2 linked regions of the Danio rerio genome follow. The protein of the gene in region 1 interacts with the protein of each later gene in a pairwise test. Links are inferred from orthologs where the notes say so. Each region holds a gene or a part of one and is shown on either strand. Other genes may lie near its edges.

The links. The genes of interacting proteins can lie anywhere in the genome.
Region 2: the proteins of agtrap (region 1) and senp2 interact in binary tests that used the Homo sapiens proteins (3 or more experiments, as listed by UniProt). The two-hybrid records come from large-scale screens. The link is inferred for Danio rerio from reciprocal best matches to the Homo sapiens genes AGTRAP and SENP2.

The regions. Positions count from the first base shown.
Region 1 is NC_133186.1:18,166,963-18,172,863, reverse strand, and holds the start of agtrap (type-1 angiotensin II receptor-associated protein), read right to left. Parts: upstream 3,606-5,901; 5' UTR 3,473-3,605; coding exon 3,446-3,472; intron 2,947-3,445; coding exon 2,912-2,946; intron 253-2,911; coding exon 141-252; intron 1-140. UniProt on the Homo sapiens protein: Appears to be a negative regulator of type-1 angiotensin II receptor-mediated signaling by regulating receptor internalization as well as mechanism of receptor desensitization such as phosphorylation.
Region 2 is NC_133181.1:12,363,076-12,368,237, reverse strand, and holds part of senp2 (sentrin-specific protease 2), read right to left. Parts: intron 2,863-5,162; coding exon 2,778-2,862; intron 1,292-2,777; coding exon 1,135-1,291; intron 1,054-1,134; coding exon 947-1,053; intron 864-946; coding exon 775-863; intron 661-774; coding exon 603-660; intron 517-602; coding exon 438-516; intron 1-437. UniProt on the Homo sapiens protein: Protease that catalyzes two essential functions in the SUMO pathway.

The DNA.
Region 1 (5,901 bases):
ACATGAAGTTGGAAAGGTGTACCTAATAAAGTGGCCGGTGAGTGAATAGTCAAAAGTCTAGTTATGGATTTTTCATCGGTCGTTAATAAAGAACAAATCAATTGCCTAAAAAGCCTTCATGCATGAAAAAACCCACCTACCAATAAAACAGCATCTATGGAGTCTCTCTGTGCTATGGCCCACACTCCCACTGCAAGAACACTGAAGTTCCCCAACACATAAGAAGCTGGGAGCCAGGAAAGTAAGCATGCCCTGTGTAAGCACATATTCAAACTGTTAAAAAAAACATTGTACTAACATAGCACTCTCCTTTAACTCAATTTGGTTTATTTTTTTGTAAAAAAATATTGTGTTTAAAAAGTACACCAATAAATGGCTTCTGTTTAAAACAAACAAACTTATTTATACATTTTCCTGTTGTCAAGATTAAAGTTCCAGAAATGCACAACTATGCAAAATTACCTGACCTCAGACCAATTGAGGTGACATTAAGAATGCAGTTTCTAAAACAAAACCCAAAATTTATAGGAACTGCGGGATGTAGTTTGTTTAATATACTGTATAATGGCTAAAATAAAAACAAAACCGAACTGTTTCTGTGTGCCTGAAGTTGGCTGACTCTTTTGATAATGATTATTTTTATCAATTTCCCAGTCAATGGGCTCTATGCACAGCTAGAGAGTTTAAGCCGACAATAAACGTCCGGTGAAAGTTCAAGGTGGCTATTTTCAATTTTACAAGGTTGATTTTACAGCACTGATGTTGTAATGTAATTACAATACATTCAGTTAACCACTTAAACTCTGCTGCTATTTGGGGATTTCCGCCTGGATTTTGCCTACCCAAATTTAAAAGCTTTTCAAATCCACATAAAGAGGTGTAAATGCAAAAATTTGGTATAATTTTAAAGAAAACCCTTTGAATTTTCATAAAACACTATTGAAAGTGTTTAAAATAACTGTATATGTTGTCTGTGTTATAATAAACACCTAAAAAAAAGAGGCGCTTTATGTTTTTTTTTTTTTAAATCTAATTTGAAAGTGTACCTTTTAGGTTCTGTGTGGTCTAGCGTGCTGTAATTAATTTTAGTGGTTCCTGCACATGTCTAAAAAAAGAAAAAAGTCTCTACCATAATCTATGCAAAAGTTATTGCATTCCAACTAATGAGAGGTGCTGTACAAGCCACAGGGACCGATCATTGTTTTCATATTTCACTATTCTTTTGTTTGATCAAATATAATTCACTGAGTTTGGACCACATCAGACATATAAAAGGATTACTTATGCACATCACCTCAAAAACAGAGGAGAATGGCCCTGAAGGGCACAGCATAAGGTAAGAGATGACAGCTGTCTGTGCTATCTGGGGCTGCTTATTGATCATAAATGTATTGTTTACATTTCTGCGCCATGGAAACACCACAATTCATTCAACAACTGTTTGGAATATGAATATAATTCAGTAAAAAGAATGCTAGAACTGAATGAGCACCGGCAAGAGATTTCAATTGAGCTATAACTTGTGACATGTGTCATATAAAAAAAAATATGAAAATGAACAATGTAAAATACCTAGCTGGGGTATCCAAAATACTGTGAATTTAAGTGTAAATAACTTTTATACAGTAGAATGAAAACCAAAGTGATGCATATGTTGATAAAATCTAGATTCTACACTTTCAAACCACACCACTTACGGGGGTCTGGTGCAATGCTAGCCCTTTAAATCTGAAAGCGAAAGTCGATAACATTCACAGACTTTAGCATTCATTTAGTTGTTTAGGTGTAAAACAAGATGAAAGACCGTTGTAACCACTAGGACTGTCAGTAGCAACAGGCTACGCAGACACTTAATTGAAAATACTGGGTAAAAATAAACTGTCATATTTTAAAGAAATGGCGGGAGGAAATGTAATTTAATGCAATTCTTCTTCTGTTATATCTAACAGGCAGTGAAGATTGCTGATTTTTAAAGAAATCAGATCTTAAATGTTACAATTTTGTAATGAAAAAACAGTTTTACTGGAAGCCCTTGGGCTGCCTGGCTGAAAATTAAAAGTCTGTGTGCAAATACCCTATATAGCCAATATATTTATATCCATAAATCCCTAAAATCTATATCCATTAAAATAAGAGATTGGCCACCTAATTTCTTTAGTAATAGAAAGCTAATACAACTAAATTCAAACATTAAAATAAAAAACCCAAATTCTAACTAAATTCTCTCTTTTTAATGTTTTAAATTTTTCCTGTTTATTAGAATTGTGTGCAATATTTTTCCCAACATAATAAATTGGCCTGTACATATTTATGGACTGTTATCTGTCATTTTTATTTAATTTTGTTAGATTAGTTTCAGTTTTAGCTAATCCAATCTACTGTATATGCTCAAATATATAACTGTATAGCATCCTACGGATTATATTAATTTCAAAGAGAGATCTGTGAGGGGCGTACTCATTTAAACAATGGCTATGGAACTAAATATTTCTTCAGTAATTTAAACTGATATGTAAAAATGTATTTAGAAGTAATTCAGTTTAAAGAAGAAAATATTAAATATTAACTATTTTTTGAACAGCTGAATTAATTTGATTGATTTGCCTCCTCGAAAAATGCACACAGTATTAATGAAATACTTTGACCTTTAACTGAAAGTGTAAAGCTTCCACTATATTTAAAATATGCAAATGGGGGATATTTGAAAATATGTGCACTTTAGTCACTTTTTCAATGTACTACTACTTAAGAAAAACAACTGTATGTTTAGGTGTTTAACAGATATTTAGAAAGCTTCAATTTGAAGAAGAAATATTTCTGATGAATAGAAAACTGGAAGATAAACATTCACCGAAGGTGAAATTCCTCAGGTTAGTGATGAAAAACAGCAAAAATGTGCCATAACTCTCACCAAACTGTCAGTATCCAGTGAACCAACAAAATGGCCTGCAGAGAGAACACATATAGTGCAGTTCATGAGTAAATGCACACATATAGTATATTATTTTCTAGAGACAGTGTGTTGCTGCACTTATAATGTGGGGTATTTATAAAACAGAAAATGTGTTATGGTCAGCATGCTTTGAACAAATTCTGCTTTAAATCAAAAGAAAGAGCAAGGATTTCCTTGTGTTTCCATTCAGAATGTTATTGTTTCCTCGCTGCACCCTCACAATAACAACAATCAACTTAATGTAAAAGCTTGCTTGCAGTTATAACAATAGCAGTTACTGATAAATTCTTTAAGAAAGTGATCTTTGAAGCCTCCCATTTGGTTTCATAAAATGTAGACTCATTTTTAAATGACAAAACCACAATGACACCACAATGACAAAACTTTTTATCTTTAAACTTTTAATGGATACTTTACCAATCAAATAATTATTTGATAATGAATAATATCAATGTACTCACTGTAATGCACAAATGATTGAAAATAAATTACCTTCAGATTTATGGCTGGTATCTCCATATTTTCACTGCCTGTTCAGAATTAAATGGTCCTATGTAGTTTTCAGTATTTCACTAAGGAAGCATGAAACACTTTCATCATAACTGTGTGTAGAAATTTGTGCTGTTCTGAAGTGACTGCAAACACAAACCATGTGACTTCAGCCTGACAAGTGTCATGTGACTACACCTCCCACCTCTGCTCATTACTCCTTCAGAGCATATAAGCACAACTAGAAAACCTGAAACAGAGTGTTATTTTAACATTAGATTTTTTTTCCTACAACAACATACAGCTAAGCGATAAATTTACATTTTTTAGGCCTAATGATACTGGAATAAAATTATAAAAACCCCATAGGTCGGCTAGTGTTAAGTAATTTTAAAATGGTAACAGTACAATTGTTTTTATTATAGATATCAAATTTATGATTTGTTTATCACAGAAAGATATTTCCAGGAAAGTTTTTTTACTCAGAAGACAAATAAAAAACTTAAAACCAGCTAAGAGATCTTTTGTATTTGAATATATTAAGACTGCACAGCTACCTTTGGATGTTTAAGAAAACAAGTTTCTTGCTATGGTATGAACTTGCCAGCTAATATGAGATTGCAATTAACCTATTTTAGTTTTAATTAATCTTCACACATTACCTTATTATAGCTATTCTTTCACTTCCACTGTTTTCTTCCTTTTATCTGTTTTCTGCTACAGAAGGATTCTTCAGCTACATCAGTCAGTTATACTCTAGCTGTGTGTGCATCTTTTTAGCATAATATTGACAATTTTTATTCATTGACAGAATATTAACAAAATACAGTAATAAAGTAGTGGGGCCCGAAGCAGGGACATACATGAATATTTATTTTGTCAATTTCCATTCCAGAAAATTTTATTGTGTTTACAAAAGCATTTATGGACCACAAGTTGTTTTTCAACAAGGTAATTGATTTTCAGCATCAAACAATGTTTGATGAAATTGTTTCATGTGTCAAAATTAATCCACGATAAAATTCATTCATTTTCTTGTAGGTTTAGTCCCTTTATTGATCTGGGTCGCCACAGCGGAATGAACCGCCAACTTATCCAGCAAGTTTTTACACAGCGGATGCCCTTTCAGCCGCAACCCATCCCTGGGAAACATCCACACACACATTCACACACACACTACGGACAATTTAGCCTACCCAATTCGCCTGTACCGCATGTTTTTGGACTGTGGGGGAAACCAGAGCACCCGGAGGAAACCCACGCGAACGCAGGGAGAACATGCAAACTCCACACAGAAACGGCAACTGAGCCGAGGCTCGAACCAGCGACCCAGCGACCTTCTTGCTATGAGGCGGCAACACTACCTACTGCGCCACTGCTTCGCCCACGATAACATTCAATAACTAATTTGCCAGAGGGATCTTAGGCCCTGTTGACACCTGGTATTAAGCTGTGTTTTCGCCAAACAATTTACCATTCACACCTGGGGCCTCATGTATCAACGCGGCGTACGCACAAAAACTTTCCGTACGCCAGATTTCACACTCACGTTTGGATTTACTAACAATGAAATTAACGTGAGAATGTGCGTTGGTCCACTCTCACTTCATGTTGGGCGTATGTGTATTTCTTGTGTGTGTTTGTTTTATTTTAACTGGCGACTCCTAGGGGCAATCATGTTAATTCGCACACTACAAAGTATCTTTGAGCCGTGCAATGCCAGCTATATAGGACGGGATCACCCACATGTCTAGCAGGTTTCCATACCATGCAGTTGACCAGCCAAACAATAAAGCGCAATTTGCAGTGATCGCCGTTTTTTCCAATGTAATCAGAGCGATCGACTGCATGCACATTGCTATAAAGGAGCCATCTGAAGACGAATTTGCATTCGTGAATCGGAAACTTTTTCATTCAATAAATGTGCAAATAATATGTGATGCTCAAATGCGCTCAACAAATATTGTAGCAAGGTGGCCTAGGTCAACCCATGATTAATTCATTCCCACAAACAGCATGATTGGGATGAGGCTACAAGATGGCAGGCACTCGTTCAGTTGTAGAGCAGGCAATTGGGCAACTGAAATGCCGGTGACGTTGCCTGATAAGAGCTGAGGTGTTCCCCTAATATACATCTTTGTCTCCCACAAACATGGAAACTACTCCAGACAGTAAAGTGTTTCCCACAATTGAGGCAATTCTCTCCTCAAAGGGTGTTAGTTCAGCATTTCCTGTTCCCCCGCCTGTTTGGTCCACACTTTGATGGTGCGCCACTGTTCTCCTCTTAATCTGCACTTTTACATCGAACCATTTCTTTTTATTTCACTAACATTGAATTCACTTACAGAATCGCAGAGAGACGCCACGTTTTTGTTGGCAAAACAAGTGGAAGAACAAGAATTGTTTGGAGACATGGGTCATCAGTGTTAGGTTTATAAATGTGCTTCAACAAAGGTTTT
Region 2 (5,162 bases), on another chromosome or scaffold:
ATAAATAATTTAAAAAAGAAAATTACGTTATTATTAGTCTGCAAAATAATAATTTCAGTCAGTGTAAAGCAGAAGATGCTGAGACTTCATTTCAGTATGTACTTCCAACTGTAACAAAATATTGAGTAGGGGGTGGGGCTTTCATTTTGCACATCACTCCCTCATAGCAAACTAATGGTAAAAGGGGTGTGGTTAAGGATATTAATATACAGTTGCTATGGAAACCCTCCTACTGACCTCAACAGAAGGATCACCACTCCAAAGGTAAGAGCAAATGGTCAAACTTTGATTGATTTAATAAAACTAACTTTTTTTCAGTAGATTAACTTGCACAGATTAATTGTTCACTTTAAGAGTAACAAACGTGAGCTAGCAAAATAAACATTGTACATTTTGATTTCACATGACACTTTACAGCACATGAAGCAAGCACTTACGGTTTTTCGTGTAGTTTGATTATCCAAGGCTCCTTCCTTGACATCACTTCCTGTTGTGCTTCGATGACCATCCACTGTTCTGTCACAGTTGAAAAATAAACAGAAATGAATCTTTCTGCATTCAGCAAACGCATATAAGGATTATGTGGCATGTTGAAGTATTACCTGTCTTTAATCTGCGTCAGGGATAGTGGATCCCGCCACATAGAAATGTTAGGGATGACTTAAGGCAATTAGGCAAACAGAAAATGTAAGTATAATGGAACTCTTCATCAAACACTTATGAAAAAATGTGAAGTTCTAATAACAGTGAAGATTAATTTAAATAAACTCTCACCTCTTACTGGCGCAGGTCTGTTCAAGTCAGTAGTGCGACAGATGGAGGTGTGTCCACTGACCTTGTGTCCATCAATGGGGAAAGCGGTGCTAAAAGATTTGATTGAAAACAGTGTTAACTTGCACCAGCTAAGCTGTGGTGATTTAAAAACATATATAATTTATGTGCTTACATGGAAGGCTTTATCCGTCCAAACGGCAATGGTTTGCTCTTTGAATATTTTTCAGATGCCATCTCCACTAGCTTCCTATAATGCTCTCGATCACTCTCTCTCAATGCCTAATCAAAAGAAAGATGCTCAGGAAGCCATGTATTTAAAAAAAGGTACTAAGTTACAACATTACAACTCAGTTTGCTAACCTCCTCCACGGTCAGGCAAGGTTTGGGTGTGCGGCTTGGGAGCTCCATCTCAGCCTGTCTTGAATTTAGCCCATTGGTGGTGCATGACGGCACAAGCTTCAAGGATCTGCGCATCTCTCTGCTTCTGTCCTGATTTGTTTTGTACAGCATTGTTCCACTGTACAAGGAGAAACATGCAGAGACTTACAGAATATCTAGAAGACCATTTTAGAGTCAAACATCATTCTCGATCGCAAAGCATAAGCACCTATTCTCAAGTCTTATTTTGATACTACTGTTTGCATATGATGGGTAAGATTCATCATCATTTTAATAGGATGGACTGCTCACAATTGAAAGATGTTATGTCATTAAATGTTTAAAAACAATTATGGCAAGCAATCAGTTTTAGTTTAAAAATATATATAAATGAATGAAAGTCAATGGAAATTGCAACTGTTCTAAATATCTTCTTGTGTGTTGCACAAAGTTTGCCACATTAGAAACGGTTTTCTGCCTGTTTATTTACACAACAACTGTTTTTGCAACTGCATAATCTGACAGCAGTTTTCAAAGTGGAAGTTTTTGAAAAGAATCGCTGATAGTGTGTCTAAATAAACAAGAGTTTTGGAGAATGATGGCATCATGTGCGTGCAGATGTGAAGGCAAGCGCAAATAAACACAATGGCGGAGTACATATTAGTGTTGTTGTTGCTTAATTGTTTGCTAATTCTTTATCAGCAAATGTTGGATTTATTTCACATTACAAATAACACCCGAGACGTATCTTACACTCACAGAAAATTCTACATTTACATCATCTGACATACATAATGCACCTATTTCGGCTATTTTCACAATTTTCACAACATTTTGAAAATGTATTGTCTAAACGTGAACCTTTTCAAATTTGGCCACATCCCTGTTGTGTAAACACAGCCTAGTTAATCAAGCAAAGATGATACAGTTAGTAATTTGTGAAAAGTAATCTTAAATTTGTTGCATAAAAAAAAAACAAAAAAACAAATAACTATATTTCTGTACAACAAAGAACATGGGAATATTGCTCATGTTTAAACTTGGCATTAAGATGTGGAGACAAGGGTAAAAAAAATCCAATTTACACCTATTGTTTAAGTCTTATACATCCACTTTACTCTGTCTTTGAGAAGATAGTCTTTTGACAGAATGGACTGGATGCATTTTTTACTGATCTAATGCTGCAAAGTAAGCTTGTGCAATTTCCATATGAACATGAAAGAAGGCAATGGAAAAATAATAGAGATCAAGAGCTTTCATTTCAGTTCTGAACTCCATCAAATGCTCTGGGTTTATGTCAGGACAGTTAAAAAAAACTGCGTTTTCTGACATTTTTTTCCATCAAATAAACTTATTTCAAACAAAAAAAAACCCTGTCTGCCTAGCTTCTTTTAACCACATTTACATATATAGCATTGCCCACTTGTGCTTTTAAACCTAGTGCAAATACCTGTGAGGATTTTGGGGGGTGGGAAATTGTGACCTTTTTGAAAGGTTCCTTTTTATCATGTAATCAGCAATATGGTGAATAAAAGAATGCATTATTATAAAAATACATATTGAGAGGACAAAGAAACCGCTTAAATTTGTGAAACACCTTAAAATTTGGACCAAATAATACTCACTCAGGTTTGCGTAAAGCCTGTGGATTGGTTTGCATATTGGCTGCTGTTCTTTCTTTATTTTTAAGTCCCATTTCCATTTGTTTATCTGTAGAGAGATCCATTAAAAATCATTTTTTAGACTTTAAAGGAAACGTCGAAAGCACACCATTTGCTATGGAAGCATATGAGTAGCATAATTCAATTCAAAATGTAATATGCAAAATGGCAATGCAATATGTTAAATGGCAATGTATTTCTGTATTTGAATTTGCATTTTCCAAGACATATGAGCAATGTTTGGTGCAGAATGAAAATGTAAATTAAATTACATTGTTTGCATTTCTCATTTCAAACACTGTTTTAATATGTCAATTGTATCCACATTTTAAAGCTTTATAAGTAGCAAAATTAAATTGAAAATGCTATACACAAACTTAATTGGATGTGAATAAAGTACAAGCAGAAACTGTAGCAAAATGATAATTTAAATGTTATTTGTCCTAAATACATTTACGCTCGCGTCTAGGAAACGCAGGATTACATTTTCAGCATAACAGCATGGGATGTGTGTAGCAAAATTAATTTTGAAATGTAAAATGCAAAACGATAATGCAATATGTAAAAGGCAGTGTATTTCTGTATTTCAGTTAGCATTTTCCAAGACATATGTGCAATGTTTGCTGCAGAATGAAAATGAAAAATAAAAAAACATAATGCATTTTCATTTAACACATCGCGACGAATGAAAGCCAATTTGAAATTGAAAATGCATTCTGGCCTGGCCACGCCCAAAGACGGCCACCGTTGCTGCAAGGCGGGTTTTAGGTTATGTCGTCACAGCTGCCGCGAGGACTATTAAGGACATTTGGCAGCATAAACATGGCGAAGTCTGTTCCTCAGCGGCTTCGTGAAGCTGCACGAGCCCTCGAGCGTGAACTGTGAAATACTTTAGAAAAGCAATCACCTCCTAGCTCCGTAAAGTTGGCCTTAGGTTTGATATTTGCGCACGCAGTTTTAGGGATCATCTGCGATTTACATCAACAGAACCAAAACGCACAGTAACGCAAAGCAGAAAAAAATTGAGGAGATTCCAATAAATGGTTAGAGGCCAGACTGATTTAATACAGGTAGCAAAGCTACTATACCTCTAACTATATGGTACATACAATGCAGAAATAGGCAATAGCTCTTGTCATAAGCATACAGTACACATCAGCTAAAGCCCCTTTAGGTTCTGTCGATGTAATTTGCAGATGATCCCTAAAACTGCGTGCGCGAATATCAAACCTTAAGCCAAGTTTACTGAGCTAGGAGGTGATTGGTTTTCTAAACTATTTCCCAGTTCAAGCTCGAGGGCTCGTGCAGCTTCACGAAGCTGCTGAGGAACAGACTTCGCCATGTTTATGCTGCCAAATGTCCCTAATAGTCCTCGCGGCAGCTGTGACGACATAACCTAAAACCCGCCTTGCAGCAACGGTGGCCGTCTGTGGGCGTGGCCAGGCCAGAATGCATTTTCAATTTCAAATTGGCTTTCATTCGTCGCGATGTGTTAAATGAAAATGCATTATGTTTTTTTTCATTTTCATTTTCATTCTGCAGCAAACATTGCACATATGTCTTGGAAAATGCTAATTGAAATGCAGAAATACACTGCCTTTTACATACTGCATTATCGTTTTGCGTATTACATTTCAAAATTAATTTTGCTACACACATCCCATGCTGTTATGCTGAAAATGTAATCCTGCGTTTCCTAGACGCGAGCGTAAATGCATTTAGGACAAATAACATTTAAATTATCATTTTGCTACAGTTTCTGCTTGTACTTTATTCACATCAAATTAAGTTTGTGTATAGCATTTTCAATTTAATTTTGCTACTTATAAAGCTTTAAAATGTGGATACAATTTACATATTAAAACAGTGTTTGAAATGAGAAATGCAAACAATGTAATTTAATTTACATTTTCATTCTGCACCAAACATTGCTCATATGTCTTGGAAAATGCAAATTCAAATACAGAAATACATTGCCATTTAACATATTGCATTGCCATTTTGCATATTACATTTTTAATTGAATTATGCTACTCGTATGCTTCCATAATTTGCAACTTAAAATTACTTTCTATTTAAACTGGAACTCCTGTAAAGGCAAAGCTGAACTTTTAAATGATCCCCAAGAGGCCTTTCTAATATGCTGATCTGAACATTTCTTATTTTAAATCTTTATATATATATATATATAAAAAAAAACAGCAATACTGCTTAGTATTACTATGGAAGATGCAAAGGCTTTCTGTATGACTCACTGAAAGAAATGAAAATAGGACTGATCCTGAACTTTTGAACAGTAGTTTGTGTCTGTCAAATTCTTAGCCAGATCACTCACACTTACACACTCAC